Solanum lycopersicum: one gene and its partner. The protein of the gene in region 1 binds, or shares a complex with, the protein of each later gene. Links are inferred from orthologs where the notes say so. Each region holds a gene or a part of one and is shown on either strand. Other genes may lie near its edges.

Region 1 (4,149 bases):
TGACTATAGATGTGGATTGTTTCTGTTTATTGCCATGTTTGTAATAGACATTTCTTTGATGATGCAGTTCTGATCCTTCAAATTTAGATGAAACTGCTGCTCAACCCCAACATTCTTCCCCTAAGAATCAGGAAGGACTAAACAAAAGAACTGTTGGTGATGACATCCCTCAAGATTTTCCAGATATTGAACTCATGCGTGACGCTGTCCATGATCACAGTTTTGAGAATGTTCCCTTGTGGTCTGACCGAGGGAATGATGTGATGGAACCAGATAGAGTTCTGGAGGAACAGATCATGAGAGACAAGGAAACTGCAAGTCCAGTTGTGAAAGAGATATTGGCCCCCGGAGGACATTCAATCCCATCTCAACAACGACAAGAACCACCATCAACTACTTCAGCGGATGCTCATGAATTTGCTGATCCACAGATATCATTTGGTGGGTGCTTGCATGCAGGTTCTTATTATTAAACTGAAATTACATATTTGCCATGTTAATATTCTAACATGAAACTTCTTCTTTTCTTGGATATTCAGGGCATCAGTCACCTGATTTAGCACTTCTTTCAACACCTCCTCTCGAGGTGCCAAAAATAAGAAGAAAGCGAAAGCTACTCATCTATGATAAGGACATAGTATTGCCAAATAAGTATGTTAATATTTTATCATCATTAACTATATATTTTCTTCAACCATTGGTATTTTGACAATGTATCATGTTCAACTCTACAGTGAGATGAAAAGGAGACTAAAGGGCATCGGTATAAAATCACGCGAAAAGAAGAAGGTTCCTTGTTTTTCTTTGGACATCTGGAAACAAAACCAGAGACTAAGAAAAGATGGAATTTTCTTTGAGCCTTTAATTACTGGTGGGTGTCTCACAGCCATTATCTAATGAGTCTAATGTTCTTCACCTAAAAATTCAACTTCTGTTAATCTGTAGGATTATGCGATGATCTTTGCAATATCTACAAAAAAGACTTCATTTCCGCAAAAGTCCAGATGGCTTCCCCACAGGAAGCCCCTCCATCTGGGAATGATCTTCCGGTGGAAATTGAAAGATTACGTGATAACCAAGACCTTGCAAGCACTAGTTTGCTGTCTGAGATTTTGCCTTCACCAAATAGGCCTATTTCCTCTCCACAGATGTCTATGCCTTCCCCAAGTAGGCTCATTTCTTCTCCACTGATGTCCATGCCTTCCACAAGCAGAAGAGATGACTTCAGTCCTGCTACTACAACTTTAGGGACAGAATCTAGTCAGATAGGAAGAACCATAGATAGTGGGGTGCAGCCCACGCCCGACCCAGCAGCATCTACTGGGCATGTTGGTTCTCATATGGAGACCCCTTCAACATGGTTTGGAGAAGGACTAGGTGTGGAGGATACTGTCTTATCTGATATTCCTGAGTTTGATAATTCTGCTGGGGTACGTTCGATCATGGTCACTTTCTATTAAATTGTGAATCTACTTTGATATTCATCTAGATAACTTTTTCAGCAGCTTTGTATCATCCGTAGTAGTCTCATTAACCCTTTCAACACATCTTTAATAAATTTTAGACTGAGATTTGTAAATGGCTTATATTTTAACATTCTTGTGGTTATTCTCATTCAATGCTTTATTACCTAGTGCACTGCTATGGTCAACTTGTCATCCTATATGACTATTCAACTAGTTCTTCCTTTCTTTGCATCTGATAAATCACTAAATGCCATTGCAGGATCTAAGTTTTCTAGAACAAGATGACGACACTCCTATTGGTACGCTAAGAACCTCTTCTTCTTTTTTTCCTTTTAGTTTGAGGGTTTGAATTGATTTGGATAATGTTGGTCAATTTTATCTACTAATGTCTGCAGCATTGCATTTCTGTTTTTGTTATTAATGATGTAATATATGCCTGAAGCTTGTATGTCCATATGCTAAAACCAGGACTTCGAGGAACTCCTTTATCAAGTAAGCAAAGGGGAACGCCAGAGTTTGACACATTATCTGCTAGGACAAGGTAACATTCCTTGAACATTCTTCTCATATATATTTACTTTCAGGATAGTCTTTTAACTCTATGATTGCAGAGCTGTGGCTCAATATTTGAAGGGGCAGTCACCAGTAACCCTCATCTCAGAAGAGACAGGAGATATCAGCTTAAATGCAATTTTAGAAGGCAAAAAGAAAAGAATATGCGCCCGGATGTTTTATGAGACTCTGGTAAGTCCTCTACAATATTTTCATGATTAATTGCTCTTACTTGGGGACACAAGTCATTTTTTTCAAATTGAACTTTTCGTGGATGTTTGAATTGAGTCAAGAAAGGTGTATATATAAGTTTCTCTGTTAGTTGTCTATGGTATGCTTATTGCTTAGTCCAATCATATTTGGTATATATATCATAAGATCCTTACCGTCATCCTTCTGGAAATTGAATACAGGTGTTGGAGAATTGTGGACTTGTACGTGCAAATCAACATGAACCTTATGGTGATATAACTCTGAAAGTGACTTCCAAACTGACGGAGAAATTTTCAAGCTGAGACCATTGTGTAGAACTATATATAAAGGTATAATTTGTCCTAGTTTTGACTGCACCCTTAATAAATTAAAGACATAGTCGTCTTATTAGCTTAGTTTTGACCTGTCAATGCAGAAAAGTTTAAGAGGTAGATTTATCCCAAAGCTTCAGTTAATATGTTATAAATGCAACCGAAAGGAAAAAAAAACGATGCTTTTCATATAGATGAAGACTTGTATCTTGATTCTTTTACTCATTTCATAGTGGGAAGAGTTGCAGGAAATTGTTTGATAACACCTTTTTCTTATTTATATCTCAATGATATCCGATGATCAAGACTCTAAAGCAGCAGCCCTGTGCATGCACACACATACATATATTATAGAATATTGCTTTGTTGACGCATCAGGGTGTGATTTTCCTTCTGTAAAATGCTGTTAAATACTGTGTAACAATGCAGAAGTTAATTTTTTTTTGGATTGTACTTTGAATAAGCTCTTCTATTTGATGTTTTTAGCACAAATATTTGTATGGTTATTTTCCTAACAAATCTCAATGTGATTGCAGTTAAAACATTTGTACAGAGATGCAGCGGTCATGAAGATGTATAATCCTGGCAGGCATTTTGTCTAAACTATTATGCATTACTAAGTGATTTAAGTTATACAGAACAAGGTGGAAGTGACATCCGTGATGAATATAATAATCGCAAAATATTTATCATTGTACAAAGATTATCCTGCTTATTGTGCATTTGAGCTGCTCAAGCTCTCTTTTTGTATAAGTAATAACTAAATGTTCAACATACTTTATTTCTAAAGACATAAAAATTTCAGCTGGATGCCTTTTGAGTTGCTGCTGCAAATTGAGCTTTGTATAAAGGCACTAATACTTCTCTATTAGGGAGATTTTCCTTAACAATTCTACAGCACAAGAACTCATCAATCCATTTGCTTAACTTGGGAAACTTTTGTTCAGTCAACAGTTCCATCCCTATTGCTTCTTGAATTGCTCCAAACCAGAGAGCTATGTAACTGGCAACGATGTCGACGAATCCAATGCTGTCTCCTCCAAAGAACTTCTTGTTTTGAAGCTCATTGTCGAGATATTTTAAGACCTCAAAAGTTTCATCACAACCTTTCTCCCTTTCTTCTCCTTTGCCATAACAAACTTTGTACATTGCTCCCATTAACTGATGACACATTCTTGTTAGTAGACAATAACATTAAATTAAATGTCAAACACTTGGTACTCTTTTTAGATCTAAAGGAATCTCTTCTAAGTTCAAACTTCATAGTATAGTAGTAGTAATATAGTTGTGTTTAGTAGGAAGGAAAAAAAGTTTCCTATAGGAAAATATTTTTTGAAAAATAACTGATATTCTTATCTTTTTAAAAAATTAGGGGTATGGGAAGTGGAAAATATTGGGAGGCGATCCATGAACCTAGTTCAGATAGCCAACCAACTGATCTACTAAGATTTCTCAAATGATTTTCTTATTCTTGACGAAACTTGTTTTTCTTACTCTTATTAAAAAACTTACCTTTTTTCTTTTGAGAATCAAACATAAGAAAATCGAAACATATCATGCATAGACTAATTGACTCTACTCGTTGCGAATTCAGATTAGTTGGTTAG
Region 2 (3,873 bases), on another chromosome or scaffold:
CCAGAGATCTTAGGCATCTTTGCGAGGATATACAGTGCTTCAATAACCCCTGATTTGTAACTGCTGCTGCTGGGTAAATTGCCACATTCTTGGGGATAGTGCAGATGGTGCTATGTCGAGAGTTGATAAGCAGCCGCCGCGACGGCGATGCCATTGCAGTGGTCATCGTCATTGCCATGTCGCCGTCGGAAACAATGAGAGCCTTTAACTTCTACGGCAGTAATTTTCTTGCGAATGCGAGAAGGAGACTAGACTCTAGATATTCAAAGATAAGATAATGTAGGGCATTTGATTTTGGACCGGGCGGAAGTGGCGTGGGTCATTGGCACGAATGCCTATTTTTGGGTGGTTTTTTAATTTTTGGTAAGAAAAATATCCTTAATATTAAAAAAGAAAAATGGAAATAGCAAGACAGAATTTTGTATTCTAATATTACACAAAAGACCTAACTTGTCCAATTTTTTTTAGAACTTGTATTGAATGAATTATATACTATGTGATTGATGTAAGAAAATTTAATTATTATAAAATTGATTCCAGGCAAGAAATAGAAGTTAAATTTATTTCACAAAATAGAGATCAATAAGAAATAGGTCAATTCGTACAGAAACTTTAAGTTACCTGACCCGTTTTTATAAAGATCAAACAAAGGAAGCCCATAGTTTTTAGCTGTCACCAAATGCTAGTACAATTAGCTAGTTTCAGAATGACCAATCATATACTTCTATCTATATTCTCTTGGAGATAACTATGCTTCTACGATTATACACTAGATAGGTTAACAATAAAAATACTTTCTCCTGAAAATTTGAGCTATAAATCTGTGCCTCAATTCTCCAATACCTTAACCGAAAAATAAATTTGTATCAGCTATAACAATAGATGAATCTATAAGACTTGTGAGGATTTAGCATCTACTAGATTTATCCGTTGTTACATCTTTGCACCTCTGGAAATGAGGATGTTTCCATATGGAAGCTCCTGTTCGACTTTAACAAAGTCTCGAGTGGCCAGAACTGCACGTAGAATGGAGCAAACATTAATTCTCTCTAATGAGAAGCTGGAAACTATGAAGTTTCTCTGAGCTGCAATGCAAGAGGAAAAGATATGAAAGAAGTTTGCATACCACAAGTCTGATAAAAAAGACATGCTGCTTGTTTCTTTGTCATTCCAAGAGTTAGTTCATTCAAACATTCTGCTTCTGCCGATCCGGGAGTGTCAAAATGACTCTTTAGCTGTCTGTAGACATCAGTTTATCAGGTGAAAAATCAATTAATCAGATGATATACAGTGAAGCTGGAGAAGTTTTAGGAACAAATGGAAAAGGATTTACATCCTGATAGAGTCAGTCATCATGTCAAGAGGTTGAGTAATGAATGGATGTTGGGTTTGTGTTGGTCCGGTTTCCATCAATATCTCTGCCAAAATAGTGAAGGGAGGTTCATAACAAACTAAACCACATTAAAGAAAATGACCAGAACTAAAATGGGAAGGTTACTGACTATTCACGAACCGTTGTCTTGTGTAAAACCATTTTCAGATAGTTCAGATAATCTAGTCAACTTGAAATTTAGAGTGGGGTCGTGCCATGGGTTCTCTTCTGCTACTGGTTGAAGACCATTGCCACTGTGCTTCAATGAAGAATGGGGTCTTTTCTTGTTGGACCTGAAGAGTTAACAATTTTGATCAATGTAACCAGATGCTGCTATATGGTGAGACCTTCATAATTTTAAAAAGAAGCAAAGTTTTAAAGTTCCCTATGGTGCTGAAATCCATGATATTCATTATTTCCTTCTGTCATTGTCTGTATGATTCAAGTGGTTCATCTTTAGACAAATCCCTCAACATATATCTACTAGTAGTACTAACCGACTTGAATCGGTTACAGAATTCTGTGATAGTAAACCATGACCAGATCCTGAGCTTGGAATGGATCTAGGCTCATCACCTATAGATTCACAAAAATGTTAGTTATACCACCATATCAGATTGCCGAACAAATCATGGAGATTGGGAAATTCATAAAAAAATCGATATACCAGAGCCAGGTGTGGCCATGTGATCAGTCTCTTTCACTCCATTAGTCTCTGTTGGATGCAGTCCCATATTTGTAAGATTGGTTCTGAGGTCCTCCATGAGAATTTCAGGTGGAATCTTGTTATTGTTGAGATTTGCCCTTTGTTTTTCTATAGAGATTCCTACTGCTGGGGAGCCTACACCGCCTTGGAAATATTCGAAAGGCGGTTCCAAATTACCCATCCTTTCACCTGGAGATGTATAGGATGGTTCAGGAGGAAAGGGTGGAGAGGTTTTTCCTGCAAGTCAAATGTAATTACCACCTGTTTATAGTTTTGGCAACTAAGAGTCTAATATCATGGATGAAAAACCAGACCGGAAGGTGAATCATGCGGAGGTTGGGTATTCCTCATCCATAATTTTAGGAGTGGTGCTGGATAGTGAACTTCCTTATTTCCATTTGTGAACAATCCTTCTAGTAGTGCAATAGGAGGCATTTCCATCATTCTGGCTATCTTCATAGAAGGTAAGACACTCAAAGTCTGCACAGAATAGAAACTTAAGGTTACTAATAAATGATGCTGCATGTTAGTTTAGTTAAGGTTACCTTCCAGAGAGAGATGCACATGCTATTCTTGGGATACACAAAGACTAGCCATTGATATCAAAGGTTATACGGTGCACACAATGGAAAAATTGAAATGGGGAAGATCTAGATTGGGAGGTATGGAAGTACCTTTCTCTTTTTCCTTTTTCTTGATGCAATATCTGAAGAACTCTGAAGCCAGGATTGATATATGTCACCAGAAATAATAGTTTGCTCATGATCAATTGCAAGACTTGTGGCCTTTCTTGTTCTTCGTCGAGCTGGCTTTGGCCTTTGTTGATCCTGCCGCTGCTACAATATCATGTCAAGACGTAACATTAGTGCTGACAGTTTTTCTTTACATTATTTTCTAGCTTGGTTGCTTGTGGAGTTTCTACCTCAAAAGCTTCTTTAACTTCATCAGATTGTTGCTTCACTTGGTCCTCTGGATGTCTGTCAGGGATCTCATCAGCTGCAATAATGTTTCGCTCCATTCAACCAATTTTCAGAAATAATTAATTACCTAAGGAAATCTAAAGACTTTTACAAGCTCAACTCAATCCAAAAGAGTTCTGTGCTTGAAGGAACTTCATATGTAAACCGGAAGTTTAATGGTAAGCAGCCAGGTAGCTACAAAGTATTTTAACTGATCTCATAGTAGGTAAGTACGACTTGCATTCATGTTCCTATTTGAGAGGAAGGGTTTATTGCCATTATGTCTCTATCAGAAAACCAAGTGAAATAATGAAATATCGTAACTCCATCTACTATTTACATCTCAAAAAACTTCATTTATCTAAAGTAGAAGATAGTAACACGTTCTTACGTTGATGGGCTTGTTCTCGAGGTGGAGATTGCACAGGAGTACTTGGGATTTGAGCATCCTCTGGCTGGGTATAATTCATTTGTGTTTCTTCATCCCCTTCAATATCAAACCTGCAGAACAATTCATGCTTAAAAATTAATAGGGGGATAATAGAAGGAAAGCTTTGCAGTTAATTAAAAATGGGGCTAATTAGCCTCCTGTGATTTAATGGTGGATAGTTTGGTTCACGTGAAGTTTTTATGCGAACTGATCGTACAAACTTAGAAATACAGAGCCTACAAACTGTTCATCGTGATACCTCTCAAAATGATTGAACATATCTGTATGATGGGATTCAAAGCGTTCAGCGAGGGTGATATTATCTGGATCAACTGCAACAAGGGTTTCAGGATTGTTTTAGAGATGGGCACAACAAGACAAAACTGGAAAACAAAGTAGCATTGAC

The links.
Region 2: sister chromatid cohesion 1 protein 3 (region 1) and sister chromatid cohesion 1 protein 1 share a complex: the UniProt entries of both Arabidopsis thaliana proteins name them as parts of the cohesin complex. The link is inferred for Solanum lycopersicum from reciprocal best matches to the Arabidopsis thaliana genes SYN3 and SYN1.

Annotation. Positions count from the first base shown.
Region 1 is NC_090800.1:77,424,272-77,428,420, reverse strand, and holds the end of sister chromatid cohesion 1 protein 3, read left to right. Parts: intron 1-67; coding exon 68-441; intron 442-539; coding exon 540-651; intron 652-734; coding exon 735-871; intron 872-945; coding exon 946-1,430; intron 1,431-1,725; coding exon 1,726-1,765; intron 1,766-1,934; coding exon 1,935-2,007; intron 2,008-2,077; coding exon 2,078-2,210; intron 2,211-2,431; coding exon 2,432-2,533; 3' UTR 2,534-2,560; intron 2,561-3,078; 3' UTR 3,079-3,343; downstream 3,344-4,149. UniProt on the Arabidopsis thaliana protein: May be involved in sister chromatid cohesion during mitosis.
Region 2 is NC_090805.1:48,879,483-48,883,355, reverse strand, and holds the end of sister chromatid cohesion 1 protein 1, read right to left. Parts: intron 3,800-3,873; coding exon 3,727-3,799; intron 3,539-3,726; coding exon 3,429-3,538; intron 3,075-3,428; coding exon 3,001-3,074; intron 2,915-3,000; coding exon 2,753-2,914; intron 2,559-2,752; coding exon 2,393-2,558; intron 2,316-2,392; coding exon 2,040-2,315; intron 1,949-2,039; coding exon 1,870-1,948; intron 1,666-1,869; coding exon 1,514-1,665; exon of another isoform or gene 1,503-1,513; intron 1,419-1,502; coding exon 1,334-1,418; intron 1,240-1,333; coding exon 1,127-1,239; intron 1,017-1,126; coding exon 934-1,016; 3' UTR 580-933; downstream 1-579. Other genes in the region: uncharacterized protein, read right to left, coding at 1-178. UniProt on the Arabidopsis thaliana protein: Involved in chromosome condensation, pairing and segregation during meiosis. Responsible for cohesion between replicated sister chromatids.